Callithrix jacchus: one gene and its partners. The protein of the gene in region 3 interacts with the protein of the main gene of each other region in a biochemical or structural test. Links are inferred from orthologs where the notes say so. Each region holds a gene or a part of one and is shown on either strand. Other genes may lie near its edges.

Evidence for each region.
Region 1: the proteins of UBE2D3 (region 3) and RFFL form a complex in vitro, tested with the Homo sapiens proteins (5 studies listed by BioGRID). The link is inferred for Callithrix jacchus from reciprocal best matches to the Homo sapiens genes UBE2D3 and RFFL.
Region 2: the proteins of UBE2D3 (region 3) and SMURF2 form a complex in vitro, tested with the Homo sapiens proteins (12 studies listed by BioGRID). The link is inferred for Callithrix jacchus from reciprocal best matches to the Homo sapiens genes UBE2D3 and SMURF2.
Region 4: the proteins of UBE2D3 (region 3) and RNF168 form a complex in vitro, tested with the Homo sapiens proteins (5 studies listed by BioGRID). The link is inferred for Callithrix jacchus from reciprocal best matches to the Homo sapiens genes UBE2D3 and RNF168.
Region 5: the proteins of UBE2D3 (region 3) and SH3RF1 form a complex in vitro, tested with the Homo sapiens proteins (2 studies listed by BioGRID). The link is inferred for Callithrix jacchus from reciprocal best matches to the Homo sapiens genes UBE2D3 and SH3RF1.
Region 6: the proteins of UBE2D3 (region 3) and UBA6 form a complex in vitro, tested with the Homo sapiens proteins (2 studies listed by BioGRID, with this or other methods). The link is inferred for Callithrix jacchus from reciprocal best matches to the Homo sapiens genes UBE2D3 and UBA6.
Region 7: the proteins of UBE2D3 (region 3) and RNF8 form a complex in vitro, tested with the Homo sapiens proteins (4 studies listed by BioGRID). The link is inferred for Callithrix jacchus from reciprocal best matches to the Homo sapiens genes UBE2D3 and RNF8.

Annotation. Positions count from the first base shown.
Region 1 is NC_133506.1:99,078,702-99,082,811, forward strand, and holds the start of RFFL (E3 ubiquitin-protein ligase rififylin), read left to right. Parts: upstream 1-1,302; 5' UTR 1,303-1,476; intron 1,477-4,110.
Region 2 is NC_133506.1:89,931,633-89,935,724, reverse strand, and holds the start of SMURF2 (E3 ubiquitin-protein ligase SMURF2), read left to right. Parts: upstream 1-1,266; 5' UTR 1,267-1,701; coding exon 1,702-1,753; intron 1,754-4,092. UniProt on the Homo sapiens protein: E3 ubiquitin-protein ligase which accepts ubiquitin from an E2 ubiquitin-conjugating enzyme in the form of a thioester and then directly transfers the ubiquitin to targeted substrates.
Region 3 is NC_133504.1:94,544,044-94,547,570, forward strand, and holds part of UBE2D3 (ubiquitin-conjugating enzyme E2 D3), read left to right. Parts: intron 1-821; coding exon 822-899; intron 900-1,891; coding exon 1,892-1,997; intron 1,998-3,527. UniProt on the Homo sapiens protein: Accepts ubiquitin from the E1 complex and catalyzes its covalent attachment to other proteins. In vitro catalyzes 'Lys-11'-, as well as 'Lys-48'-linked polyubiquitination.
Region 4 is NC_133516.1:25,640,499-25,644,025, reverse strand, and holds part of RNF168 (E3 ubiquitin-protein ligase RNF168), read right to left. Parts: intron 3,072-3,527; coding exon 2,124-3,071; 3' UTR 1-2,123. UniProt on the Homo sapiens protein: E3 ubiquitin-protein ligase required for accumulation of repair proteins to sites of DNA damage. Acts with UBE2N/UBC13 to amplify the RNF8-dependent histone ubiquitination.
Region 5 is NC_133504.1:22,211,001-22,215,268, reverse strand, and holds the end of SH3RF1 (E3 ubiquitin-protein ligase SH3RF1), read right to left. Parts: intron 2,923-4,268; coding exon 2,754-2,922; 3' UTR 512-2,753; downstream 1-511. UniProt on the Homo sapiens protein: Has E3 ubiquitin-protein ligase activity. In the absence of an external substrate, it can catalyze self-ubiquitination. Stimulates ubiquitination of potassium channel KCNJ1, enhancing it's dynamin-dependent and clathrin-independent endocytosis.
Region 6 is NC_133504.1:129,688,207-129,692,519, reverse strand, and holds the start of UBA6 (ubiquitin-like modifier-activating enzyme 6), read right to left. Parts: upstream 2,806-4,313; 5' UTR 2,750-2,805; coding exon 2,679-2,749; exon of another isoform or gene 2,656-2,678; intron 1-2,655. UniProt on the Homo sapiens protein: Activates ubiquitin by first adenylating its C-terminal glycine residue with ATP, and thereafter linking this residue to the side chain of a cysteine residue in E1, yielding a ubiquitin-E1 thioester and free AMP.
Region 7 is NC_133505.1:45,694,251-45,698,303, reverse strand, and holds the start of RNF8 (E3 ubiquitin-protein ligase RNF8), read right to left. Parts: upstream 2,819-4,053; 5' UTR 2,718-2,818; coding exon 2,607-2,717; intron 1-2,606. UniProt on the Homo sapiens protein: E3 ubiquitin-protein ligase that plays a key role in DNA damage signaling via 2 distinct roles: by mediating the 'Lys-63'-linked ubiquitination of histones H2A and H2AX and promoting the recruitment of DNA repair proteins at double-strand breaks (DSBs) sites, and by catalyzing 'Lys-48'-linked ubiquitination to remove target proteins from DNA damage sites.

The DNA of each region.
Region 1 (4,110 bases), on a different chromosome or scaffold from region 3:
CCTTGTTTGAAAATACAAATTGCTCAGAAAAACTCTGGGATTTCTCAATAGAATCTAAAGCCTAAGAAAATTGTCACTAGACCTCAGTTAAAAGAAAGATTAGAGGCCAGGCGCAGTGGCTCACTCCTGTAATCCCAGCACTTTGGGAGGCAGAGGCGGGTGAGTCAGGAGTTCGAGACTAGCCTGGCCAATACGGCGAAACCCCATCTCTACTAAAATACAAACATTATCTGGGTGTGGTGGCGCGCGCCGATAGTCCCAGCTATTCGGGCGGCTGAGGCAGGAGAATCGCTTGAACCTGGGAGGCGGAGGTTGCAGTGAGCCGAGATCGCGCCACTGCACTCCAGCCTGAGAGACAGAGCGCGACTCCGTTTGAAAAAAAAAAAAGGATTAGAAATGAATATTATGTTAATAACTAGGCATTGTGCCCCACGCTGGCTAACCATCCCCCGGGCCGCCCTGCTGCTGGGCGGTTTACTAAGCACAGCTACATGCATTCGTTCACTAAATCCTCACGCCAACCTGCGTTTCTGGGATGAGAAAACCAAAGTTCCTTAAGGTGAAATACGTTGCTAAAAGGTGCAAGGGGGAAAGGTGTGGATTCTTGCTGAGTCATTATCATTCTACCACAGCCTTCCTCAGCAGTTTCCTCATCTTCCTGAGGGGAAGTAGCTAGTCCTAGGGGTTTAGACTGGAAAGTGCTAGAGTGAGTGGGACAAACGTGGGTTTTTAGGTTCAACAGACCCGGCCTCTAATAACTCCCAGCTGTGGGACCCTGAATAAGTTCGTGACCCCCAGTGGGGCTGGGTTTCTGCAATGATAAAGTGGGGAAAACCATCGCCTGCTCATAGACTGATGAGAGAGGCAATGAGACATGAAAGCCACCTTTCAAAGTTTTATTATGAAATGAGTTCGGCGATGTTAAGGGACTCGATCAAGGTCACCAAGCCGAGTCTTGACCCAGGTAACCTTGGACCTGGACCCTTGGGCGCCTCTAGCAGAGTTGTGTGATCAAAGTAACCAGCAGTCCACAACCTGACTTCGGGGAAACGACGCCTCCTATAGGTCCCAAGGCTCCGGCCGCCCCGGCCCCCACCTCCGGGAGCCTCAGCTCCGCCAGGGGGCGCGCGCGCGGAGGCCGCACTCGAGGCCGCCGCGCGCCTCGCTCTTCTCTATGGTGACTCGGGCGCGGCGGGAGCGGAGGCGCGCTCCCGAGAGTGGGCGGGGCCAAGCCAGGGGCGGGGCCGTGCGAGGGGCGGGAGCGGCCGGGCCAGGCCGGCTGAGAATGGGTGGGGGGGGGCCGACTTCCTGGGGCCGCCCGTGAGGATGTCGCGACCGCCCCCGGGTGCCCCTCAGCCCCAGAGACGCCGCCGCGGCGGAGTCCGCAGCCTCCCTGCCTGAGGCATCCGTAGCCGGTATCCAGCCCCTCCCCTCGCCTCCCCTCCCAGGTGCTGGCCCGGCCGGCGGCCGCAGCAGGTGAGGAGGCGGCGGCGGCAGCGCTGGGGGCCGTGGGGCGCCCGGCCTGGGGAATGACGGGAAGGGGGGCGCTCGGGTGCCGCCAGGCTGTGGTCTGGGGGCTCCTTCTCTGTGTGGGGCGCGGCCTGGGACTCTCCCTGCCCTACAGGGGTGAGGGGAAAGCCCCTTCCTTGCTGGAAGTCTCCGCCTTGAGGGCAGCCCACACCTGTCCTTTGAAAAGTCCTCTCAAAGAAAGCGTTTCACCTGTGGGGTCAGTAACGGGAGACGTGCGTCCTCCACTATCCCCAAGCGCCCTACAGACCGGCAGGTCTAGTTGGCCTGTGGGGAAAAGATAGAAGCCTCTTTGTACGGCAGAGGAAACTGAGGCAGGTCTGCGGCGGCCTGCTCACCCCTTTAAAGGAACCAGCCGGTCCCTACCTCCCTCTTAGACGGAGGCGGCTGGAGGAGGGAGGTTTGGAGTTTGGAGGTTGGATGGAGAAGTTTGGGAATGCGGCTCTACCCCCAGGGTCCACTGTTCCCTCGCTTGGGAGTTGTCCTCTGTTCGCGATGTGTGTGAGATCGCTACTGTGCGATCAAGACCGAGAGGGAAATGGGGCCTCTCTTCAGCCGGCTGCCCAGGAGACATTCGACCAGACATGGGGAAGTCTGGCGAGACCAGGGAGCCAGAGCCTCCGCTGGCATGTCTGCTCATGAATTCAGGCTGGCAGAAGAGACAAACAACAGCGTATTTTCTCCTTTTTGTTGGTCTGTCATTTGTTCTTGGGGGGAAAAAAACTGCTTGTGTAATCAAGAGTGCACCGTTGCACTCCCTAGTCTACCATAAGGAAAGATTATTGTTAGCTTGGAAATAGGGTTTTACCCACAACTGTCACTTTGCTCCCTGGTTAAAGGCCAGAGTGACGTGATGAGCTAACATCCCAGGGTGCCTGTGGCCTTCTAAGAAAGCAGTAAGTTCCTTATGCATCCCTTTGATTATTGGTTTGGAGGCAGAGAGACTTCCTGTTACCACTGTCACTGCAACTGTTAGGGGTGCCTAATCATTCTCCCAGTGACAGTTCAATTTACTCAAATGTGGGCTGGGCTGCCCATTTATTATACCATTCTTCTAGGAATGAGAGTAGGCAGGGGACAGGGCACTGGGCTGAATTTGTGTAGAGTTCTAGGGCTGCAGCCTAGCCGTGACAGTTCTTTCTGTTCAGGGGATTTCAGGTTTGACAGCTTCTCTATCCTTTTCCCTGATTGCATTCTCTTTCACATTCAAGGAAATAGATGATGGCAAGGGTTTCTGAACTTTTATTGTACATTTACTGATTCTGAATTTTAGAGTACAATTCATAAGTTACAGTTTGTTTAGAGGTATTCTTAAGTTTGAAAATTCTTGGGTATTGTGCATAACAATTGCAGATGGATGTGGCAGGGCTAACTAATATCTTGCTGGTGATTGAAGAAAATGTTCATGTAATCTAGGACACACTTATTATAATATCCATCTAATTACAAAGACCGGCCCATTAAAAACTTTTATATTGGTGAGGTAGACAGTTGTGATATCTTGTTTACATTGGGATCAAGGGTTGTAAATACTCTAAATCGACCAGTTTAACCAACTGCCAAAATAACATGCACAAAAAGAGAAAGCTCTTCTCAGAAACCATAAAAATTGGTTTATTTCATGCCTTCTCTCACGACCAAGCCAGTTGACATAACTCTGCTTAGTACCATCTAATAGGAACACCTTTTTTTTTTTTTTCCTTTGGAAACAGTCTCACTGTCACCCAGGCTGGAGACAGGGTTTTGCCGTGTTGCCCAATCTGGTCTCAAACTCCTTCAGCTCAAGCCATCTGCTGGCCTCCACCTCCCAAAGTGCTAGGATTATGGGTGTGAGCCACTGTACCCAGTGGCATAATCATGGCGACCTCCTAGGCTTAGGTGACTCTCCCTTCTCAGCCTCCGGAGTAGCTGGGAATTCAGGCAGGCACGACCACGCCCAGCTAGTTTTTCTATTTTTTGCAGAGGTGAGGTTTTGCCATGTTGTTGGTCATGAACTGGGCTCAAGCGATCCTCCTGCCTTGGCTTCCCAAAGTGGTGGGATTATAATTGTAAGCTACCTCCTGGGCTGGAACACTTCTTAAGGGTAGTGGAAAAGGCATTTTCAGTGACCAGCATTTAAGAAGACAAAACAAACAGCAACAATAACAAAAAGGGGCACAATTTCTTTTCTAATTACATGAGCATTGTGATTTAAATATAGTCACACCCATCTCTATGAGTGTCATGCCTAAGACTTTCTAAAAACATCTCCGTAAACCTAAGAACTCGTTAGGGGGACTAATTCCACCTTGAATTTTTATTCTTGACATAGAACTTTTAATACTGCCATTGTTTTAATGATGGAGACTTTTATACCAAACTTGTACTAGCCATAGTGTTTATGTTTTTGAAGGAAAGATTTAACCTCTATACCTTAGAATCTCATAACTTGTTAATACAGGAACAGCGTTAAGGTGTTAGAGTTTATGAGAACACATAGTTTAAATTGTTACTGGTGAAGTCTCAAGCAAGGAGCTGCTTCATTATTATTGTTGTTTCTTTTTTTCTTCTATTTTTTTTTATTGAGGTCCTCACTCATTTTTT
Region 2 (4,092 bases), on a different chromosome or scaffold from region 3:
TTGAACCCCGGAGGCTGAGGTTGCAGTGAGCCGAGATCGCGTCACTGCACTCCAGCTTCGGTGACAGAGACTTCAAGAAACAAAACAAAAAAATTAGTGGAGCGTCGTGGCGCACACTTGTGATCCCAGAGGCTCAGGTGGGAGGATCACTTGAGCCCGGGAAGCCGAGACTTCAGTGAGCCATAATCGCACCAAGGCACTCCAGTCTGGGCGACAGAGGGAGGCCCTGTCTGAAAAAAAAATCCTAGCAGTACAGTTACAAGGTCAAAGGATAAGGTACACATTTAAAAAAAACTTTTCCTCCTGAGATAACGACATAGAATAGTGTATGAACAACTCTTCATACATTACTCTCCAAGGTTTATCTTGTTTTTTTTTTTTTTTTTGAGACGGAGTTTCGCTCTGTTCACCCAGGCTGTAGTGCAATGGCGCGATCTCGGCTCACCGCAACCTCCGCCTCCTGGGTTCAGGCAATTCTCCTGCTTCAGCCTCCTGAGTAGCTGGGATTACAGGCACGCGCCACCGTGCCCAGCTAATTTTTTGTATTTTTAGTAGAGACGGGGTTTCACCATGTTGACCAGGATATGGTCTCGATCTCTTGACCTCGTGATCCACCCGCCTCGGCCTCCCAAAGTGCTGGGATTACAGGCTTGAGCGGTTTATCTTGTTAATCCTTTAAGACGTCAATATCATCTCCCTATCCTTGGCTGCACCTGAAAAGAGCCAGAGTCGGCAGGTAACCCGATCTCCTCCACCAGGTGAGTCCCGGATGGAGGCGTCAACTACAAGATCAGGAGCAGAGCACACCTGGGGCTTTGCTGGAACCCTTGGCGTGGGAATGCAGTCTCTTCCCTTGCCCGGAAGACTCCAAGTTCCCGGCGGGCAGCGGACTCGGTTCTAAATTTGCTCGCCCCAGCCTCTCCGAGCGCCCCGCGCACAGTCGGCCGTGCTTGGACAAAAGCTCTCCCGAAAAGGACCGGACACCAAGTCCCTCCAGGTGCCACAGACCTGCCGCCCCCGCGTCACTTTGCTCCCTGCCCGCTCCCTCCCCGCGTTCCGCGTGGGACCCTCGGCAGCAGCACACGACCTCCCAGACGGCTGGGGTCTGAGCCGAGCTCGCCCCGCCCTCCCCGCGCCCCGGGCACCCTGCGCGCGCCCGCCGGTCCCGCCCCGGCCCTGCTCCGCCCCGCCAGCCCCGCCTCTCGTCTCCTCCCCGCCCCCCGGAGCCGACGAGTGGCGGCGGCGGCCTCAGGTCCCGGGTCCCTCAGACAAGAGGGCGGGTGGAGGAGGAAGCGGCCGAGCCCAAAGTCCTGCTCCGGCGCCGCGGAGCACCGCCCGCCTTAGCCGACCAGCCCCGTCGTCTACTGGGCCTCGCCTAGACAAGAGGAGTGAAAGGCCGCGGCGGCCGTGCGGAGGCGGCGGGGGTGCAGGCAGAGGCGGCGCGGGCTGCCGCGGCTGCCGCTTTGTTGTGCGGCCCGGGCCGAGGAAGAAGTGGGAGGAGGGGGGAGCTCGGCGTCCCGCTCCCTCCGCGGCTCATGGCGACGACGCTCGGCACATCCGGGACCCTCCGGCCGCGGCGGCCGCGGCGCCGGCTGCTCGGGCCCCAGCCCCGGCCGCTGTTGTGACTCCGCCGCGTCTCGCCGTCGCCCCGTCCCTGGTCCCTGTCCCGCCCGCCGCCCCTTCGCCCCCGCCGCCGGGGACATGTCTAACCCCGGAGGCCGGAGGAACGGGCCCGTCAAGCTGCGCCTGACAGGTGAGGGGGGGGCGGCGGGCCGGGTCGGGCAGCGGCGGGGTGGGCGAGCTGGCGGGGGGTGCCTGTGGCCTTGGGAAGGGCCAGGGTCGCGATCAATGGTGAGTTGGGGGTCGGAGGAGTGGGAAGGCCTAGTTCAGGGAGAGTAATAGGAAAACCACTTGCTCCGGTTTGGACATTCTGTAAAAAGCCGAGGATGACTCGGGGTGGCGGGGGGGTGGTCTTTTGTGGAAGGGGGATACACCGGTTCGCGTCGCAGGAGGATTTTAGGTCGAAAGGTCTTGGTCGAGGAGCGGGACGCTGCTTCCCGGGGCTCGTGGGCTGCCGCCCAGGTGGGCTCTTGAAGGGGATGAAGAGCTCCGGTGGCGAGGATTATTGAATCCGGTTGCTGACTGCGCGTAGTAAACACTCCGTAAAGACGGAACGCTTAACGGGAGGGTGTGCGTGTGTGTTCCCGGGTTAACTTGCACACCCACTTATGCCCGCGTGCAAAACCTTTACTCCCCGCCGCCGGCCACCGCTGCTGGGGCCACACACCTTCAACTCACTTCTCTCTGAGGAGAGGAGACTGAGGTTGACTTTTCCGGTGTGCCAGTCTGATCCGATGGCTCGGGCTCATTGTACATTGTGTTTTGGAAGTGTCTGGATTGTAGGTGGCATGTTTGGGGTTGTTCCTTGTAGGCCGCAGAACTTGTGTCCCACTTTTAACTCCAGACCTGCTTTAAAAACACGGTTTTTTGGGGGGCGGGGGAGAGGATACATTTCTAAGTGTGTGCTCATACAAACTTTAGAGCGAACTTGTTCTTACTCTCCACACCCTCCCCCTTTTTTTCTAAATGGAAAGGAATGTCCGGAGGGGTACTACACTTACAAAGTGTTTATAATTTCAGGTGCATGAAATCTTTAACATTACAGGTACGTTTTGCTTACAGTACCATTTTTGGTATTCTTACATGGACATGCCACCCCCATTTTAGGAAAACTTGTATTTGGTTTGAAAAGTAATTGAGATCATGGCGTTATCCTTCCTTCACCATTTACTCCTGATAAATTGTTTACGTTTATATTCAGATGAGTGGCGAGAAAGATAATTTTCCGTAGAGGATTTGTGTGTGCGTGCACGTGTACGAATAAACTGTAATTATGTTTGCCCACACTAGACTTTGAGATTTATTTGAACTAATTTTGTAGTTGAATGCTTCTATGTGTCATCCCAGTCCGCAGGCTGGACTTGCTAGATGAAAACTTGCAGTGAATTTGGTATTTGAGAATTTAGCTTGAATGTATGTTGGCTGTAATTTAAATAATATTTTACCTTCAAGACAGTTTTGCTTTCCCTGGAGAAAATTGGCAGGGAATCATTAACCAAGTGGTTCTTAATGGAAAACCTGGATTGGAAGATACTTGGATTCCCCCTACCCGCCCGCATTCAATGTCCTTATATTGGTAGGAGTCAGTGGAAACCTTTAGGGGGATCTTTGTTGCTTTAGAGTTTTATCTCTTGCTGTTGCTATCTGGCGTCAATGATCGTGGAAAGAACATGTGATCCCAGGTATGCAGAAAACGTCAGAAATAGGCTGTTGCCATTTACTTCTCTCTAGGCTATGTAGAGAAAACTAGGGGAAAAAAATAGGGATTTTGATTTTCTGCAGATAGATGAGTTGAGGTTTTTAATATGACTCAATAGATCTTAAAGTGTTTATCTGTGGTTTCCCCACTGCCTAAGATACATTATAAAAATTTATAAGTGAAGTTTGCTAAGAGGAAAGATTATGCTTATATTTCAGGGGAAGAAGGAATAAATAGTGAAGTACATTTAGAGAGTGATTTTGTTTCAGGTTTTTCTGAGGAATTTTAAATTCGCTGTGTCCTCTTAATAGTAAAAGCAGTTTGAGGTGCTCTGAGTTTCTTACAACTATTTGTCTCTGAATAGTTTTCTCTTAAAATTTGACAAATATTAAAAACATTGTCCTTCCTTCTTTGGTTACAGTGGAGTCTCTTCTGTTTTGCTAGGAAAGTTAACTTTTTTTTTCATTTTTGTTCAGCATTTACAAATTAGATGGTATAGATTTTAGCAAATAGATCTCAAGAGCTGGATTCAATTAGCAGCTTTTTAGGACATAAACATTAAAGGGTTAGATGGAAAAGATTGTTTTGACTGACTGGATAAATGACAGGACTGTGTTTGATGTGCGTCCAGGAATTGGTCTGGAGCTGGTGCCCAACTTCTCAATCCATCTTGAGAAGCCAAATAAAATATTTAACCTAGGCCTCATTTTGTTTAAAAAAAAAAAAGAAGGTTGATTCTTTGTTAAGACCTTAAGAAATGTTTGGCATACCTT
Region 3 (3,527 bases):
ATATATAACCTTTCTAATGGAGAAGAATGAGTGTTAGTAATAACCCAGTTCATGTAAATTTTAAAACATTTCTTCGGATTGATTCTTTGCATATCCTGAGGCAGTTAGGCATTCCACATTTTAACTTTAAATTCCTGTCTAGATCAGTATCTTTTGTCATTAAGTGGTCTTCAAAAGACTCTTGTTTGAATCTTGGTTCTGTCATTTACTATTTGTATACTAGACTAAGTTACTTCTTAAAGCCTCATTTATATCATGCGTAAAATAGGGGCAATGTATCTATTTTCTGGTATTGATTAAAATGAGAAACTTAAGCTTTTCCCTGTTCTCTTGAACATAGTTGTGTGTTCCTTACCTGGAATAGCTAACATTTTGGTTGGCCAGTGGGCAGAATGGCCTGTTGTAAACCCATTTGTACACATCTGGCTGTTGGAAGAAATAATCTACACATGTAAAAGTTTATTTTCAGATTATTCTGATACATGATTCTGTATGTAGGCTTTATTGCTATGTGTACTTTTTCCTTTGTGAGAATTGAGATCTAAAATACTTGTGTTTCTGGATAACTTTTTAAAAAACATTCTGGTGACTTACGTAAAATTGAATCTAAATTACGATTTATTACTCTATGGTAAGTTTTTGGTGTTTTTTTTTTTTTCCTGTTAATATAGACTTAATTTTCATGGGATAATTTAGATTCTTTATTACAGTGTAAATAGGTAATTTTGGTTCATTACTAGAGGAACACTTAGAAACAAATGTTATGGATTATTTAGCAATAATATTTTAAATTTGGGTTAAGCATACTTTTCTTTTTACAGAATGACAGCCCATATCAAGGCGGTGTATTCTTTTTGACAATTCATTTTCCTACAGACTACCCCTTCAAACCACCTAAGGCAAGTATTTCTCCTCAAAAATCTGTTAGTATAGATTTATGCTTTATTTCAAAGGAATAGAGCATTCTTGGAAGTTACGGTTCTGCCTAGGCTAAATATATATGTTGAATTGAGGCACTGATGTACAGATGCTGACTCTAAACCTTTGGTTTAAAGAGCTAGACCTCAATTTGAACTTTGTAAATGGTAATAAAGTGTGCCTTTTCCTTAATGTTGCAAGATTCAGACCACATGGAAGCTTACCCCCATTATTACATAGATTCTGATTATAGGCTTTGTTGTCTTGTAGGCATCAAATGTCCAACTTCAGTTTATATTTGCACATATTGCTACAACTTATGCTTACAGTTTTATATACATAACTAAATTTATGAAAACGAGTTGCCTAGTGCAGTGAGTTGATTGGTTTGTAGATACTAAAAGCATATTATCCTTTACTTTTAAGTCATTAACATAAATTCAACCTACATAAGTAACTAGAGAAGGTAGTATTCAAAGGACATAAACATGTCACTATTAACAGTCCGTAGTAATGTTACAGGTGCAATGTGATGGTTTCCATTTTTGTGATTCAGGTGTGTTTTATGTACAGTGGAATTGCAAACTCATGCATACCTGTGTAACTTGAAACTTTAAATGAGATGGTCTACAAATTTTGGTTGCATTCAAAATTAGGGCTTTTTTAAACGAATGTGTTAAATACCTTTAAATTGCTCTTTGATATTCATGATACAGTAGGACCAAAGTAACCTTGAGAACTTTCCTTCATATGAGTAATGAAATTTTTATCCAAAAGTTTAAGTTTCTGTTTTAATAAGAGGGAGCTGGGGGCAAGGGGAGTTGTGGTCAGATTGTGAAAACCAGTTTCTATATATTTGGAACTTGTTTGCTAATAGATAACATTTTTAACATTGTGGCTTGATTATTTTAAGTTTTGCTTTAAAAGATGTTTGTTTTTATTTGAATAAAATACCTAAAAGTTTTTGTTTTAGGTTGCATTTACAACAAGAATTTATCATCCAAATATTAACAGTAATGGCAGCATTTGTCTCGATATTCTAAGATCACAGTGGTCGCCTGCTTTAACAATTTCTAAAGGTAAAAATACATCCAGTGAAATAATCTTAAGCTGTTCTCATTTTCTAATAGTTTCATTCTGAGATGTACTTATCTGAGTGTTTTTATTCCAACTTTCTGGTAAGAGATGGGGAAGCAATAAAGTTACTTTTATCATTTGTGTTCTTTTAGTGGTATTGATTAAAGAGACTTTGTGAGAAGAGGTTAAAATTCAAATTGGGGTAGGTAGGCATTATTTGCCTAGTGAGTTACCTTCATCTCATAACAGCAAAATTTATCTTAATAGACTTCTGTATTTTTAATCTCAAACTGCTTGGACATGTCACACTCATTGCCTTTTTACCAAGAATGGTGTAATACACCTAAACTTAATAAAGATTTTGAATCCTGAAGTTTCCACTCTAGAAAAATTCTGATTTTGCTTTCCTGGGTTAATTTTTAGACAAATCTTTAGTCATGTGTTATGTAACCATTTTAGGTTGTTTCTACCTAATGACAGTCTAAAACTATAATCTTGGAAATATCTGTAGATCAATTCTGGTCTCCTACTGTTAATAGGCATCTGTTATGTTGTATCTAATAGGTTGTCCAGTCTCTTCATGAATATCCCAGGTGGAGTTTTTAGACCTTTTTTTCTCCCTCTTGGATGCTTTCTAATTTTTTTTCAGAACATGCTCCCATACCTAAATACCAGCTTCCAAGTTTTTCTGCCACTGCTGGTAATGTACTATAACAATGAAAACTGTTTTTGTAAGGGCAGATTGAATTGATACTGTTTTGTCATTAAAGTAACTTGCTTTTTTGGCAGCCATACTTTGCTAACTTACTAAACTAGGAGTCAACACTGAAGGTACCTTTTTTCTTTGAGTTACTATATAGCCCAGTCTCCTCCATTAGGTAATTTTTTATTTGCTCTGCTGCATTTGACTTTGAAATTAAATTTGCTATAGTCAGCAAATATTTATGTGACGATGTTGTCTTTATACTATTACTTTTTTTTTAATTCGTCAGAAACATTTCAAGCATTTACATCTTAACAGCGCCATGTCTGGTGACTGGCACATAACAGGCACTCAGATTGAATGAGATCTATGTTCCTTAATGTTTGACATCTTATAAATCAGTGTGTTGAACTAGTTAAGGGAAGAACTAGGGCTGATGACTCACTTGGTACTAAAGAGATTTTGGCATTATATTTAACCAGTACTCTTGAGAATATCGTTTCTTACAAGTTCGAGGAGATAAAACATTTAGTGGAGCACCTCAAAGTTTTTCTCAGAAAACTCCTGAGACAATGGCAAAGAATGGATTTTTCTTCATGCCCAACAACTATGAATAATATGGCATGAGTGTTGACCTGCATATTCTTGCTAAAGTTCTCTCCCCACCCCCAGAGTACCAAGAAACTCCTTAAGTTCTAATATCATTTATGCCTATTTAAAACATAGATTAATATGGCATCAGTTGCCTATCTTAGAAACTTTATTTTTATAGCTAGTCAGCAGTGAATTTGATGTCACAAACTCCATTTTTAGCTCTTCTTACTTACCA
Region 4 (3,527 bases), on a different chromosome or scaffold from region 3:
CCATTGTTTTTCCATTCTTTTTTGGTCACAGACTATTCCAGACAGATTAAATAAGTTTTAATTTGAGGAGTTCCAAGAATGTCCACTATAAAACATGAAGTGAAACTGCTCTTAGAGAAATACTGATTTGGTGAGAAAACTGATCTTGGTCTGTTTTAGACACATTTGGTTAGTTTATTTTTACTTACCAACGTGACAGTACAGTTGCAAACTATACTTCATTTGCCTACAATCATTACTCAGAGAGCAATCACCTTAAGAGGCAAATTAAGTTTTAAATGAGCACAGAATTTATAATTAACCAATCAAAATTGACATAGATGCCATCAAGTATGCAAAGATTAACAAAATTTCTATTACAAAACTTGGAGGAAAAAGTCTTAATGACATACAAAAATACTGGCAAATTTAAGCTAAATTAGCTCTAGACGTTTTATTCTATTTTCCCACTAAAAGAATAGGTGACTAGGTATCAGTAGAAACGCTGTTAAAGCTACCTGTTCGTTACTAATTAATGAAACCAAAAGATCAACCGTCTCTGAGCTAAATTTCACAAAATGAAATCAGTGTCTTCTGATTTAACTTTCAGGAGTAAGAAAGGGCAAACCCCAAGCATCCTATTTTCTATCTCTGTTCATAAACTCAAATAAGAGCAGCATCAAAACAAAAAAATAATATAAGAAAATACATGATAATGTTTCAGGTTCCATAACATAAGATACTGTGATATAACTCTCCTATATTCTCATTTTTTTCTCCAATAGCAGATGAACAGAAATACAGGTTTCCAAAAATTCACACAATTTAGTAACTAATTTTTATTTTGACACCTGATAGTATAGTGTGAAAAGCTACAAAACCCAAATGTCTCCTGTGTCATTTCACAAAGGAAGGACAAGGGAGCAAACTGCCAAACTGCACCTGCTGCTTCGCCCAGGACCAGTTTCTAACCACCCTTTCAGTTGCAATGATCCCAAACCGTCAGTCACCCCAACCAGCTTCATCCCAGCTCTTAACTCCTTTTGCATAGTCTAGTTTCCTTTCTGGCAACAAATTCTCAATTTCCTAGAAAACCCCGATTTTCATGGCTCAAGCCTGTAATCCCAGCACTTTGGGAGGTCGAGGCGGGTGGATCACAAGGTCAACAGATCGGGACCATCCTGGTCAACATGGTGAAACCCCGTCTCGACTAAAAACACAAAAAATTAGCTGGGCATGGTGGCGCGTGCCTATAATCCCAGCTACTCAGGAGGTTGAGGCAGGAGAATTGCCTGAACCCAGGAGGCGGAGGTTGCGGTGAGCCGAGATGGCGCCATTGCACTCCAGCCTGGGTTACAAGAGCGAAACTCCATCTCAAAAAAAAAGAAAACCCTGATTTTCTGATTTAACACTGATTCGAATCCATTTTAAACGAAAGGAAAGTGGCCAGGCATGGTGGCTCATGCCTGTAATCCCAGCATTTGGAGGCCAAAGCAGGTGGATCCCCCCAGGTCAGGAGTGCAAGAGAATCCCATCTCTACTAGAAATACCAAAAAATTTTAGCTGGTGGCGCACACCTGTGATCCCAGCTACTCGGGAGGCTGAGGCAGGAGAATCGCTTGAACCTGGGAGGCGGAGGTTGCAGTGAGCTGAGATTTCACCACTGCACTGCAGCCTGGACAACAGAGCAAAACTTGGTTTAAAAACAAAAAATCACCAAAGGAATCACTACAATGCTGAAAATTTAATTAAATTGGAGATGGAAATCAGATTACTTCAGGAAAATACATTTGAGTATTCTGTAAACATGGGACAATAGCCAAGAAAATGTGGGTTTTAAACCCTGCATGGGTTCCTTAATTACTTAGAATAGTATAATCGTGATTTGATTACCAGTCATGACAAAAAGGTGAGCAAAGACCAAAAAACATGCATTTTTTTGGAAAAAGAATGGCACTTGAAGACTTCTTCGAGTTGGCCAAGGCATAAGGTATTGTCCTTACAACCACACAGACCTTTCATTAAGGACAATGAGTGTGCCTAGAGAGCAGCATGAATGACACATGTATAAAGATTCTACAATAGAAAAGAGCTTCACAATCCAGCTTTACTAGATTACAAAGCACTCCCTTTAAAGGCATGCATTACTTTGTACATCTGTGAAACATCTGATAAATGCTTTTCTGTGAAATGTTTGGCTGCAGGGAATGAGCACTTCTGGATACATTACAAGGATCTCTAGTAGAATTTGGCGTCTTTCTTCCATTAACTGAATGCCTCAGCTGCATCCTAACAGACAGCTGCCTATTTTCATCCCTTGAGCCTCTCTCAGGTTTTGGGTGTTCTGTATCAGTTTGCCTTTTGAAGTTCCTATCTTTGGAATTCTTCCTCTGTCCATTTCGCACTTTGTCTGGAGGTAAGGATGTAGCACGTAAGTGATACTCATCTGGGGATCCTTTTTGCCGGTTTGGCTTCGTTTGTTCTTTGTCCACTTCCTTCTGAAGTTGTAATGCCAATAACCTGTCCTGTTCTTCTTGTTTATGTCTCTCTAACAGTAGATGCTCCAAATCTATCAGTTTTTGGGTAAAGTTTGTTTCTGTTTCCTCTTGATCTGAGGAAGAGCTGGGGAACATCTTCCTTCTTTTTGCAGAAAAGCATGCATCCTTGACTGCTTCAAAGGAAGATTCTTGGTTTTTTCTTTTGGAAATATCCTTACTGATCAGTAGGCAAGACTCCTCATTTTCTGTCTCACCTGTGTTGTTTCTGTTTGCCTGTGTAATCCCTGATGTGGTGCACCCACTCTCTGTTCTGCCAATAGGCACAACTGCAGTTTCTTTAGAGTCACAATCTCTGGTTTCAGGTCCTTCGGGAGTTAAGACACACGTTGTATCATGATTGTTTGGTCCTGCTTTGACTTTTCTTTCGTGGTACAATTCAGCACCACAGGCACATAACCATGGCATGGGGGACTCCACTGAAGAATCTGCACCTTTTTCTCCAATTCCAAGGCATATCTGTGGAGAAAGTGTTGGCATATCTTCTATTTCTGTGTCTTGCCATGTTGAGCTTTTGATATCACTACTGTCGATGTCCTGTAGAAAACAGAAAAAGACTGAATGAACTAGGGGGAAATATCGAATCGTAAGATGCAAGTCTAATTACACTGATACTACTGCTGACCTGTTAGTATACATTATTCAGTATTACTAATAAGGTTTGTTTATTTATTTAGAGACAGTCTTGCTCTCTCACCCAGGCTGGAGTGCAGTGGCACGATCTCAGCTCACTGCCATCTTCACCTCCCAGGATTAAGTGATTCTCCCACCGCAGCCTCCCAAGTAGGTGTTTGTTTGTTTGTTTGTTTGTTTAGTTTTTTGAGACGGAGTCTCACTCTGTCACCCCGGCTAGAGTACAGTGATGTGATCTTGGCTCACTATAACCTCCACTACCCGGGTTCAAGTGGTTCTCCTGCCTCAGAATTGCTTGAACCCGGGTGGCGGAGACTACAGGTGTGTGCCACCATACCCGGCTAATTTATTTTTAGTAAA
Region 5 (4,268 bases), about 72 Mb from region 3:
CTACAATACAACCTAGAATTCCTGATTTTCAATTCTGATGATAAGCAATTTGACAGTAGCCAAAAGTTAATAGAAAAATAGTTTTTAATATGACTTACATGGCCCTTTCATTTCATGGAAGATGAAAATCGTGGTGAATCTAAAGATTTTCTCCACAAGCCATGCTGAGACTTACAGGTTATCACATGGTTGGTTATAGGTCTGCTCCTTCTACGGCTAAGAAAACTTCTAGCACTAACCAGATGACTTTAGTAACCAGAAGAGGAAGAGGGAACACAAGTGCCATACACGACCTTGTGCGACTCCACAAACTCTTTTTAAGCTTCTTGGAGAAATAAACAAGGTTTGTAAGTTGCAGAGGTAAAATGTACATCATCACATTCTGGCAGACATCTTCTGTTTGAGGTGTATGCAAAGAATTTTTGTGAGGTACAAATTAGGTCAAATTTGTGTGTGTGTGTTTTTTAATTTAAAAAAGGAAAATTTTAAGGATTGACACAAGGGACACACAAAGGTTGAACATCAAATTTTAATCTTGAAACCGTTTATCCAGTCCTCAAATTATTCACATGAAAAGGAATGATAAATTGCAATTTTATCATTACCATATCACTGTGTAACAAGCCCCTGTTAAAAAATCTCCCTCTACTCTCTCCAAAAAACCAATAGAAAACCCATACATTATATTACCTAATGATCTATGAACAGATGAAATTTTAACCAACTTTATACCAGGAAATTATGAACAGAGGTACTTCACTCACATAGCTCAAAATATGGAGAAAAGACAGGTAAAAAAAATTATCTTAACCTGTAGTAGTCTTTTTCTTTTTAAAATTTTTATAAAATACACTAATTTCCCAAAATAAAGAATATTATGACACATTGGTGTCAACTTACACAGATGAAAGCTGATGCCAGCTTTTTTCCTAACTAAAGTTCATTTCACCAAACCCTTATATATTACATGAATATCCAAGTAAAGTATTTTTTAAAAATTCAACACACAGGAACATAATATACAGTGTTTTATTTTTTTAAAAAAGGTTAATTTAGGAATGATTTCATTTTCAACCATATAATGTATCTTTAAGACCATGAAACCTCTTGCCATTGCAAGAAGACTTTTCAGTTCATGTTTTAATTTCCCAGTTTTAATTCTTAAAAGAAAAAAAGATGAAAGGGTTTATTATCCATTTCCCATGAGAAAACTGTGGTAAGAATCTTACTCACTACCAGGCTGTCTTCCCTCCTTTTGTTTTCCAGACTACCCAGATCCATGACTGCGTGGCACCATAATGAAATCGGTGGGAGAGGCCAATGACATCAAAGAATGGATATAAAAAGACAGGCTCAGCTGGGTCCCGCCACAATTGTAAGGTGTGGGCACATTCGCTCTCACCAAGCCTTCCAGAGCTCCACAGTCACAGAGCAGTCTCCTGGTTAACTCATCCTTGATGTCTGTCTGCTGGGAGGACATAAAAGAGCATTTTCACTAATGACTTGGGTAGTGGCTAATGGATGCCTTAGCCAGAGAGGGAGTGAGCGCACTGAAGAGACCTGGGTCAGCAGTGGCTTTGGGGTAGAGAAGAGAACACTGTTGATTTTTACACCCCCTGAATTGGTCGATTCTGAGTACAAACTCACCTTAACAGGAAATCGCAATGAAATATACACACCATGCACAGTCTATATCACTGTGGGAATCCAGTAACACATGCAAGACATGAGGAAAGAATCACAACGGATGATTATGAACTTTTCACAGTGTTTCTTACAGCCTTTGACCTAACACTTACCACTACTATCTCACAAATGTTTCACTTGTGGCCTGGGCATGCAGATCGGTTGGGGTAAAATGGGAAATGACGCTTCATAGCCATTCTCAGACAGTGAATTCAACTTCAATTTCCCCTACTTTCCAACCAAACAATTGAGTTGCTTCTGCTATAAAACTAAACATATTTCTGAATACATTTTGTTCAAGGGCTGTGCTATGTTCTTTCTCATCATTTCAGTGATTTCGTTCTAGGAAAATTAAAAATCCATACAATTAAATTGAGGACTAGATCTTCAGGGTGATTCTAACCAAACTAGAAAGACAGGGAATCACTAACTTCTCTTCTCTCAAGTTTCTCTCTACCCCAGGCCCTAACTGATACTCATTTGTATGTCTGGTTTCCCAAAGAAGAAAACCAAATTAGAGAACGGGCATTTCTAGCTTAAAGAAGCAAAACATAACCCCAAAATATAATGGTAGCAGGGAGGAGGGGAGGGGAAGATGCATTCACTCTATGTCAAAATGAATCTCTTGCTCTCAACAGGAGATAATCCAGCTTCTCCTTAGCTATCATTTCATAAATTAATAATTTCTTAAAATCATAATCCAAAGAATGTATCTATTATAAGAAAAGTTCAAGTTTAAAAAAGCAAATAAATTAGTTAAGCCTTGTAAACAATTGTCCATTTTAGTTACATATCTTAAAAAAAAAAAAAAAAAAAGGTTTCTCTGTGTAGTAAATCAGACAGTACAAGGCACACCTTACACCTCCGAATCCAGACTGATAAAACCCACACAAACACCTTCTTCACTCTGCTGGCTGGGGGAACTGTGCTGGGGCATGGGAGTCACGCACCAATCCTTTGCCCATCTCCTGACCATCTGGAAGTCCACCAATGTGCTCTTTCCATTAAGTTGCTTTGTGCTATTTTGTCATGTGAAGTGATTTTAAGCCTTCTCAGTGTCAGTCTCCTCATATGTTTTCCACAAAGCTTCCTGGGAAGAGGCCAGTTTTCCCATTACGTTGTAATGTGCCTTTGAACCAGCCATCCTCTCGCTTTTTATGAACAAACACAATATCTCCTTCTTTAAGTTCAAGTTCTGCCTCACTCTGAGGAGGATAGGAAACCACCACCCTGTGCCTAGAAAAGAAAGAGATTTTAGTTAAGGCAATTCAAGGCAGTTATTTTAAAAAATGGTGTACTGTTAGTCTGCATGAACCTTCCACATGAATAGGACATAACATTAATTCGTTCATGATGGTAAAACAACTCAAAATGCTGCTATTTTCTGTTTCATAGAGACTCAGTACTAACAAAGACCGGCCTTGGATATGTGTGTCAGTCCACTACTGATGGCCCAGACTGGTTCATTTGAGTGACCTTTATAAGGCGAGCCATCCTTGTTCCCTCCCAGTAATTGTATCTTGGCCATAAAGGAGAGTTTCATTTCATTTCCTGGGAGGGCCATCATTTCTGTCCCTCCCTCTTCTCCAAGAAAACAGGAGTGAATTTATTTGATTGGCAAGACTGAGGGAAGTAGCTGAGCAGGGAGGTTCAGTCCTCACTGAACCACCTGGCCACAGGCTAAGGAGGCTCTGCTCCACCTCTGTGTTGTAAGCACAGAGAGGTCAGGAAAGTGAGTCTGGAAATCTCTCTCTGTGTCCCTTACACTGGGGTTTGACATGGGTGAGGCAGCAATTCTGAGGAAGGTAATCTACCCCACATACCCAAATTATCCCTTGGGAAGGCAGCCCCAAGGTCCAGATATGGAGGGGAGGGCTGTGACCACAAATTCAATCCACTACTAACAGTAATGAGGTTGATATTCTGATCTCCACTATTCTGACATTTGTGTCTACTTCTCCCTGGTTCAGAATTTGAATGTTAGTGGGAAAGGTGTCATTATTGCTTAAAAACAGCAGAAGCCTAGTTGGCTTAATATTATCTACGCCCCTGCCTCCATGCTCCTTAGCTTTCCTATGCAGAATTACAGCTTGTAGGAAACCAGAGGGAGGTGACTTGTTTTACGTTCTACATCCTTTTATCCTTTGCTATTTTTCCAGCATTCTCTCTCTCTTTTACTCCTCTCAACAAAAGGGGAAAAGAATGGTGGTGTACAGCAGCCAACCTCTAAGATGGCCCCAATGATCTTTGCTTCCTGTTATTAACACTCTTGTAGAGTCTCTTCTGATGCATAGGGATGACCTGTGTGACCAATAAAATGTCACAAAAATGACAATGGGATTTCTGAGGCTAGATCATAAAAGACATTGTGGCTTGCACTTTACTTTCTCCTGGATCAGTCACTCGGTAAAATTAGCCGCCATGTTGTGAGGACACTCAACATCTATGGGGAGGAAACACATAGTAAGGCACCAAGGCCTCTTTGCAAAGGTCTAAACTAACCAGACAACAGCGATGTGACTAAGCCACCTTAGAAGTGGATCCTTCAGCCCCAGTCGAGCATCAGCTCAGGCTGAGGTCTT
Region 6 (4,313 bases), about 35 Mb from region 3:
AAGCTCACCACTCTATTCCAAATACATAAATAATACCAGGCATTTAATAATGATAGATAACCCTGTGCTACACACTGTTTTAAGTGCTTTAGATGTACTAATTCAGGTAACCCTTACAATAACAACCTTGTCCAAACAGTGGGCAGGCACTATTGCTATCTCCAATGAACAGATGGCAAAAAAGAGGCTGAGAGAGGTTCACTTAAAATTTGCCCAAAATCACAGAGCAGGCAAATGGCACTGCCAGGATCTGAATCCAGGCAGTCTAGCTCTTGACTACCACACATGCTGCCTACTGCCTCTGATAGTAGACATTAAAAAAAGCACTTTAAAAAAACCTGTTAAATGGGCCAGGTGCGGTGGCTCACGCCTGTAATCCCAGCACTTTGGGAGGCCGAAGCGGGTGACTACCTAAGGTCAGGAGTTTGAGACCAACCTGGCCAACATGGTAAAACCCTGTCTCTACTAAAAACACAAAAAATTAGCCAGAAGTGCTGGCAGGTGCCTGTAATCCCAGCTACTCTGGAGGCTGAGGCGGGAGAATTACTTGAACCTAGGAGGTGGAAGTTGCAGTGAGCCAGGATCACACCACTGCATACCTGTCTGGGCAAAAAGAACAAGACTCCGCCTCAGAAAACAAAAAAAAAAAAGCAAAAAAACCCCAAAAAACTGTTAAATGAATATATTTTAAAAGAAAAAAATAATCTAAATATAACAAACCTGACAAAGTATACTTATTATAGTAACATTTACAGCAGTGCTGGTCTCAATTATTTCACAGCATGGCCTTCAAAAGGTTATCAGTAGGAAACACAGGGAAGCAGAGATAATTCCCAGGTATGGCCAACCAGTCTGGGGCATTTGGAGCTGAAGCACTGTGAGAGCTGAGATCAATATACTGGCAGAAGTGCAGGCCATTCCTAGTTCTGAGAAGCTCTTATTGTCAATTAAAGGATTCTAAATGAAATTCAGATTTGGAATCCAACTTTCTAGTCCTAGCATTAATAAATAAGCCAAGAATTTGTAAACAAAGGTAATTAAAACGTTATCATTTAACTCACCAAACACTGACACGTATCAAATGATATCAGCTTTTAGCTAATTAAACGAATAGCTAGTACAAAAATTGATTGCAATTACCAAGGCAAATCAGAAGATAGCTGTGTTCTAAAAGATCAGCTATCTAATAAAAAACACACACATACACGCATACACATTTTGGGCATTGTAACAAAATATAAAAATAAACAAAATTGGTTTCTTTTTTTTTGAGACAGGATATCTGTCACTCCGACTAGTGGAACGATCTCGGCTCACTGCAGCCTCGACCTCTCCAGACTCAAGCGATATGCCCATCTTAGCCTCCGAGTAGCTGGGACTACAGGCACGCACCAACACATCCAGATAATTTTTTTATATTTTGTGGAGATGAGGTTTCGCCATGCTGCCCAGGCTAGTCTAGAACTCCTGAGCTCAAGCGATCCGGCCGCTTCAGCTTCCCAATGCGCTGGGATTGCAGGCGTCAGTAACTGAGCCCGGCCAACAAAATTTGTTATTATCTACTTTCCTATCATCTTACCCTACTACACTTTCACTTGCTGTTTTCCTTGCTTGGGGAAGGGGGGCAATAGGCCTGTGAGTAAATCTGAATAAAAACGAGAAGAGCTACATTGTAATTAGCTCTGCCACTTAATGGCATGACTGGCACTTTTCAGAAAGTTGTGCCTCACTGGAATATTTCAAGAATATGTAAAAATAACATGATCTATAAGACAATCAAAACGTTTCAAATAAGACGCGGGTTATATTACATAATATACCACAAGTCTGGCAGTGTTGGCAATGGCAGACAATACCATGAAACTGAAAGCATCCCTGCAGTCTGAAACTGGCGAAAAAGCTACAGGTTTACAAAGTCTCACATCAGCTGAAAATAATACATCCATCATTTCTATCTTGGCATGGTGTATTCTGACAGTGGTGGACAGGATATCATTACTTGCTTTATTAATTATGAGATGACTTACAGAGGAATTACTAACCAAGAATCTGGTAAAGGCCTGGCACATTTTCCCCTAATTTTACAGGGGCGGGAAAGACCCAAAGAATTTCAAAACCAAGTGGGAAATAAGAATGGGTAACTTGTATATTTTTTTCCTGGCCTCTTTTTTTCTTCCGTAGTCAACAGAGGCCTCGGGGTGTCCAGATTGCTACTGATTCGTTCTTACTAAGTTCCTTCTGGTAATAGTTTTCAAAAGAGGATCTCAGTGGAGGTACACAGAGGCGCTCCCAGCTTTCTTTTTACGGAAAGGAGGAAAGGTGCTTGGCACCAGTCGGGGAAGCTCACGCCAAGTGACCGGGACCAGAACTCGCTCTCAGCAGGAGCCCCGCAAGTCTGGTGAATGGGAGGAAGAAGGATCCTGAATCCCAGCCAGAACTGAGAAAGCGCACCTGTGAGGTGCGGGAAGGGGACTTTCTCCTCTGGAAAGCCGGGAACAGCGGAGGCCCTAGCTCACGTCGCCACACCCACTCCGCGCGCGCCCCTCACCTCCCCAAGCCGGCTCTGCTCGGCCTCGCGGCCTCTCGGGCGCCCCCGGCCCGCCGGAGAGAAAGAAGCAGAAACCCTGAGCTTGGGTCCCACCTGCGAACCCTCACCTTCGCCCGCCTCGTCCTCTCACCTGCCAGTCCCCCAGGAAGAGCAGGTCGCCTCTTCCCTAGGAGAGGCGGCCACCGTCTCGGATCTTTCCATAGTCGCCTGAGACTCCGCCGCCGGCTACCAGGAGGTAGGAAAGGGGGCGGGACCGCGGGGGTCAAGGGGCGGGCAGAGACGTCATCAGAGAGGGCGGGCCTGGGGAAGCAAGGATCCCGGCAGCACTTTCCCGTCAACCCTTGGGGCGTCCTGATTTCCGGTTTGGGTGTGGCCGCATGATGTGCTGTGGTGGAGGTGGCCGAAGTGGGCGTTACTGTTGGGACTGGCATCCGGCAGATGAAGATGGAACCGAAGTCCAGAAGTTAGTCGTCACCCTTGCTCTGCAGCCAAACAAGCAAGGCTTTAGTAACTCGCGAAATGATGGGATTGCGTTGCAAATCCTTAAAAGAGTCTTACAGTAAGAAGAGGAAACAGCTTCATTTGATAAATAAACTGAAGGCTAGTAATAGCTCCAGATTGTCAGTGAGGGACACCACTTCAAGATATTATGTATTTAATAGATGATTTGAGGGACGGGCGCGGTGGCGCACGCCTGTAATCCCAACACTTTGGGAGGGAGGCCGAATCACCTGAGGTCGGGAGTTCGAGACCATCCTGACCAGCATGGAGAAACCCTGTCTCTACTAAAAAAAAAAGTACAAAATTAGTTGGGCGTGGTGCATGCCTACAATCACAGCTACTCGGTAGGCTGAGGCAGGAGAATCGCTTGAACCTGGGAGGCAGAGGTTGCAGTGAGCCAAGATCACATCATTGCACTCCAACCTGGGCAAAAAGACCAAAACGCCATCTCAAAAAAAAAAGTAATAATAATTTTGGGAGTCCACTACGTTTGAGGCACTGCCTCAGATTTAATAGAATCATGTGATTTTTAGTGCCATAAATGACATTAGGTCATTCCAGTTTGGTCCCTTCAATTTGTTGGTAAGAGAAAGGAACTTCCGGTCAGTGCAAGTGTCTTGGTCAAGGTCATAGAGCTAATCACTGTTAGATTACCAGAACATATCTAAGGAGTTCTCATATAATTCTTTCCATTTACTTCCGTGTCACCTTTCTTAGAAAGCAACAATTAGTTGGACACAATAACATTAGGATTTGTCTTTCACTTTAAATAACAGTATATATTTGAATAAACATCTGCAGGATTTTTAAAGGTAGCCTATACTTTGACTTTGGGTATTATATAATTTTCTGTGATGTATCATATTTTTAATTAGAAATTTTTCCTCTCTTATGTGGAGATGAGGGTCCAGGCAAAACTGTATTATCCTTTGTGCTCCTCTATTCTCTTCAAAATTGCACATCTTAAAATACCTGGAAGCTTAATGTTACTCACCTGTAGCATTGTCCATGTTCTCAATCCGGCTGTGAACCTTTCCCACATTAAAATGTACTTGATCTATGCTCTATTCTTTCAAGGTTCTGCTCCAGCACTAAGTTTATTCCCTGTCTTTTCTCTTTATTTTAAAATTAATACATATAAATATCTTTCGCTATCCCACCCTACAGATATTGTCAGTTTCTTTGTTTCTCTCCCTCTGATTTCCCTTCTGTATTTATTTTTTTCCTAAATATTTGTTGAATGCCTATTAAACATTAGAACTTA
Region 7 (4,053 bases), on a different chromosome or scaffold from region 3:
GTGCACATTTGTAATTCCTACTATTCCAGCTACTTCCAGCTACTTGGAAGACTGAGGCAGAAGAATCCTTGAACCCAGGAGGTGGAGGTGTGATCACACCACTGCACTCCAGCCTGGGTGATGGAATATTCTGTCAAAAAAAAAAAAAAAAAAAGCACCACAAAACAAAAAGCCCCAAACCAGTAAATATAACCATCCTTTCCCTTGGGGCAGAAAACTTCATGAAAACTAAATACAAGAGAATAAAAGGGGAGAAAGGTTCTGTTGGTTTCCTCAAAGGCAAAGATTCTTTATAGTACCTGAGAACTAGCTAATTTGCAATAAATCTCTAATTGTTTTTCCACCAAACTCCATGCATTGCTTTAACAAGCTTAAAGCCACTTATTTAGACAACCGATTTACTACAGTATTCCCATCAATGAAATGAAGGGAACTCTGTTTTATTATTTTATCTGCAACATCTGAGACTAAGAACAGGAAAGGCAGGGAACTGACCTACTTTGCTGTTACAATGTTATTAGTATACCTCCTAAAATCTTGTGCAAAACAGCTTGTCCTATGATTTGGGGACCATTACAATAACTACAACTTCTCTTGCCTTTGACTCAGATTTCTTTTCAGGCTATGCCATGACCTGACCTTGCAGGCCTCTCCTCCACACAGGTCCCTGAAGCCAGCCAGTCTTAACACTGTGTCATCATTCACTCAGTTTGTATGGGTCTCTCCCCATAGAAGTGGCCCTGACACAAAACGATCAAAATGTGTAGAATATGTCTAAGAGTGCTTTATAGTCTTCTTGCCCTTCCTGCAGGTGCTTTAATCCTTCCTCCCCATCCCACTTGCCCAAGGCTGCAGTCCTACCAAGCTATTCAGAAGTCATAAATTAATCCACAACAACGGAATCTAAAGGAGTAACACCTGCCCACTAAGTTAACTTACAAGGTTGTGTGTATGCAGGGATCACATTCAATAATGTATTAAGTAACAGTTATACATAAAAATAATTTATTTTGTGTGTACTGTTCAGGTTATTACTCAGGTGTTGGTGTTTTAATTTGTTAAACTTCTCAGAAACATATACTGTTGGAAAGGGCCAGGCAGGGAAAGGTCAGTGCTCAAGCTAAAGGAATGAATGCCTAATGTGGACTTTTGGGCACTAACACCTGGATAGAAGAGGTATTTGGGGGCAGAGGTGTTTTCTTCATGTTCCCGAAATCACGACATACAAGTAACCCTTTATAACCCTCTCTAATCTAGCAACTAAAGTTGAGCCTGAACATGAATCCCTCCCCTGACTTGAAGAACTACTGCTCTGGGATGGAACTAAATAATCCATATCTTGGCACTTGATCATACAGCCCATATACAGTTCTTAGACTGCTTCATTGTATAAATCCTCTCTCCCCACTTAAGCCTGAAACTCTTTGAGCTCACAAATTTTATGTGTTCTCATTGTACACCAATGTTATGTACTCTGTCAACACCTGGCAGACTGAATTGAGGAGTATGACTTACAGGCAAAATCTACCTGAACATACGTAAGGCTCAAAAGACTTTTTGAGTTTACAACATCACGACCAACTATCCACTTTTACTGCAAAGGGAACCTTTCATACAGATTTCCAAAACCCAAATGGTTCCCCGTCATCACCAGCTTGTCCCTGACTCAGTTTTCCTCTCAACCTGATTGCAATCTAACTCCATCCTCCCTTCCCTCGCCCTTTGAGGATGCATCATCTTCAAAGTGCATCTTGAACCGTGCCAGGAACGTGCCTCATCTTTCCCCTTTAAAAAATTTTCATTTGGAATTATATTAACAAAGGCGACAGGCATCCTCTGGAGAGAACTCGGAATCCCTGCCCGATCCCTCCTTTAGGGGTGCCACTCGGACGTACCGAGCTTCGCGGGAGAAATGCGGCCCAGCCTAAGGCGCCCCTGTTCCTCAGAGGTGGGAAGGAGGAAGACATTTCTACTTGAGAGTTTGATCACTTTAAGGGACAAAACCCAAAACTCGCATTCGTTTTCAAAGCAAACTCGAGAAAGTTCAAGCTCCGGGCAGCCCTTCCAGGCCCCGCCTCGGCTGCCCAGCGGCTCGCGGCTCCAATCCACTGTTCCCAGGCCCGGCACCGCTGGGCTCCGGGCGCCCTAAATGGGATCTGGCCAGGCCCCGCCCTCCACTCCGCTATAACACCGCTTCTCCTCACATCCTCTGCGCGTCCCTCTCCTTCCCGGCCCCGACCCCACTCCCCGCAGACCCAGGCCTCTCTGGGCTGGGCCCTCTTCTCGCCCCACCGCCCGCGGGCCAGGCCTCGTCCTCACCCCAATCCTTGTGGCCCTCCAGAGCCGAACTCTCTTCTCTTCCTTTCTCCCACTCGGTCCCTATTTCTCCCCAAATACCTCCCACCTTAGACCCTTCAGCCGCTCGAGCCAGAACCGCTCCCTCCCTTCTCTCCCCAGGATCCACCCCCCCCATCCCCTCGTTCGTCTTCTGTGTGCCTGCCTCCTCTCTGCCATTCATTCCGCCCACCTAGACGCCTTCCTCCTTCTCCGGAGCCCCGCTCCCTCCAGCCCCTGCCCTCCGCCCCACAGGACGCCTTCCCTTGTACCTCACACCCATCTTCCAGTAGCAGCCACCCGGCGCTCATCCCCACCCGCCGCAGGCACCAGCTCCGACCACCGGCGCGGTTTCCCGTGACCAAGAAGCCAGGCTCCCCCATCGTCTACTCGACCCCGGGGGCGGTCAGCACGGAACTAGACCCCGACCCGGGTTCCTGCAGCCTCGCAGCAACCAGGCAGCTTCCATAGCTAAACAACAGACAGAAGCAATCGCCACGCGCTCACATCGATGCGAATACAAGCTCCGCCTGCCCGCCGTCGACCCGGAAGCAGGAGCACTGCACCTGCGCGAGAGGAAGGCAGCCGCCCCGGGGCGGAGAGGGTTGGCTGGTAGCGGATCTCGACTCCTGCGGGGCGGGCGCGGCTCGAGGGCTCTCCTCGTCACGTGACACCTTCTTTTGCCAGCTCCCAAACCATCACCTAGTCCTAGCCGCCCCAGACTGGAACCTCTCCTCACCTTTCCTCTTTTTTAAAAAAATCATGTAAAACTATAGCCCACTTTTAAACAACTTTAAACTTTCCATCAGTTTTAAGTCCGCTTAGCCTGTTCCTAAATAGCTTCTATTTTGCACGACCTCCTCATATTGCCGAAGCAAAAAATAAATTACACTAGGCAAATCTACAAAGACAGAAAGCACAGTTACTTGGGGCGAGGTGTGGGAGCGGGGATTAATGCAGATGGGGTTGGAGAAATGGAAGGAAAGCAGTAATAGAAATGTTCTAAAAGTGGATTGTGGTGACAGTTGCACAAGTGTATAAATTAATTTATTAAAAAGTCATGGAAGTGCTGTAATCCCAGCACTTTGGGAGGCTGAGAGGGGCGGATCGCTTGAGCTCAGGAGTTCCAGACCAACCAGGCCAACCTGGGGAGACCCCGTCTCAAAAAAGAGGGGGGAGGGGAGAGGAGGGGAGGGAGACAAGGGGACCCGGAACGTCTGGGAGGGGAGCGGAGGGGAGGGGAAGAGGCCAGGAACGGAGGGAAGGTGAAGGGAGGGGAGAGGCGGGAACAGAGGGAAAGGGAGGAGAGGGTAGAGGGGCGGGAACGAAGGAAAGGGGAGGAGAGAGGAGAGGAGGAGGAACGGAGGGAAGGGGAGGGGAGGGGGCCAGGAAGGTAGGTGGGAGTCAAAGCTGCACTCATGGAAATGCTTCCCTAAGCTGTGCATAGGTATCTGTTGGTGGCCCCACCCCACCTTGGCATTCTATCCCAGGAACAGCAAGCACACCTGGAAACCACTGTGACATTTAGTCTGTGTGTCTCCTTAGACTCCTCTTGGCTGTGATAGATTGTCAGTCTTTCCTTGTTTTGATGACCTCGACAATTTGAGGGGTACTAGAGAGATATTTGTATAATGTCCCTCAGTTGGGATTTGTCTGATGTTTTTCTTGTGATGAGACTGGGGTTATGGATTTGGAGGAGGAAGACCACAGAGGTAAAGT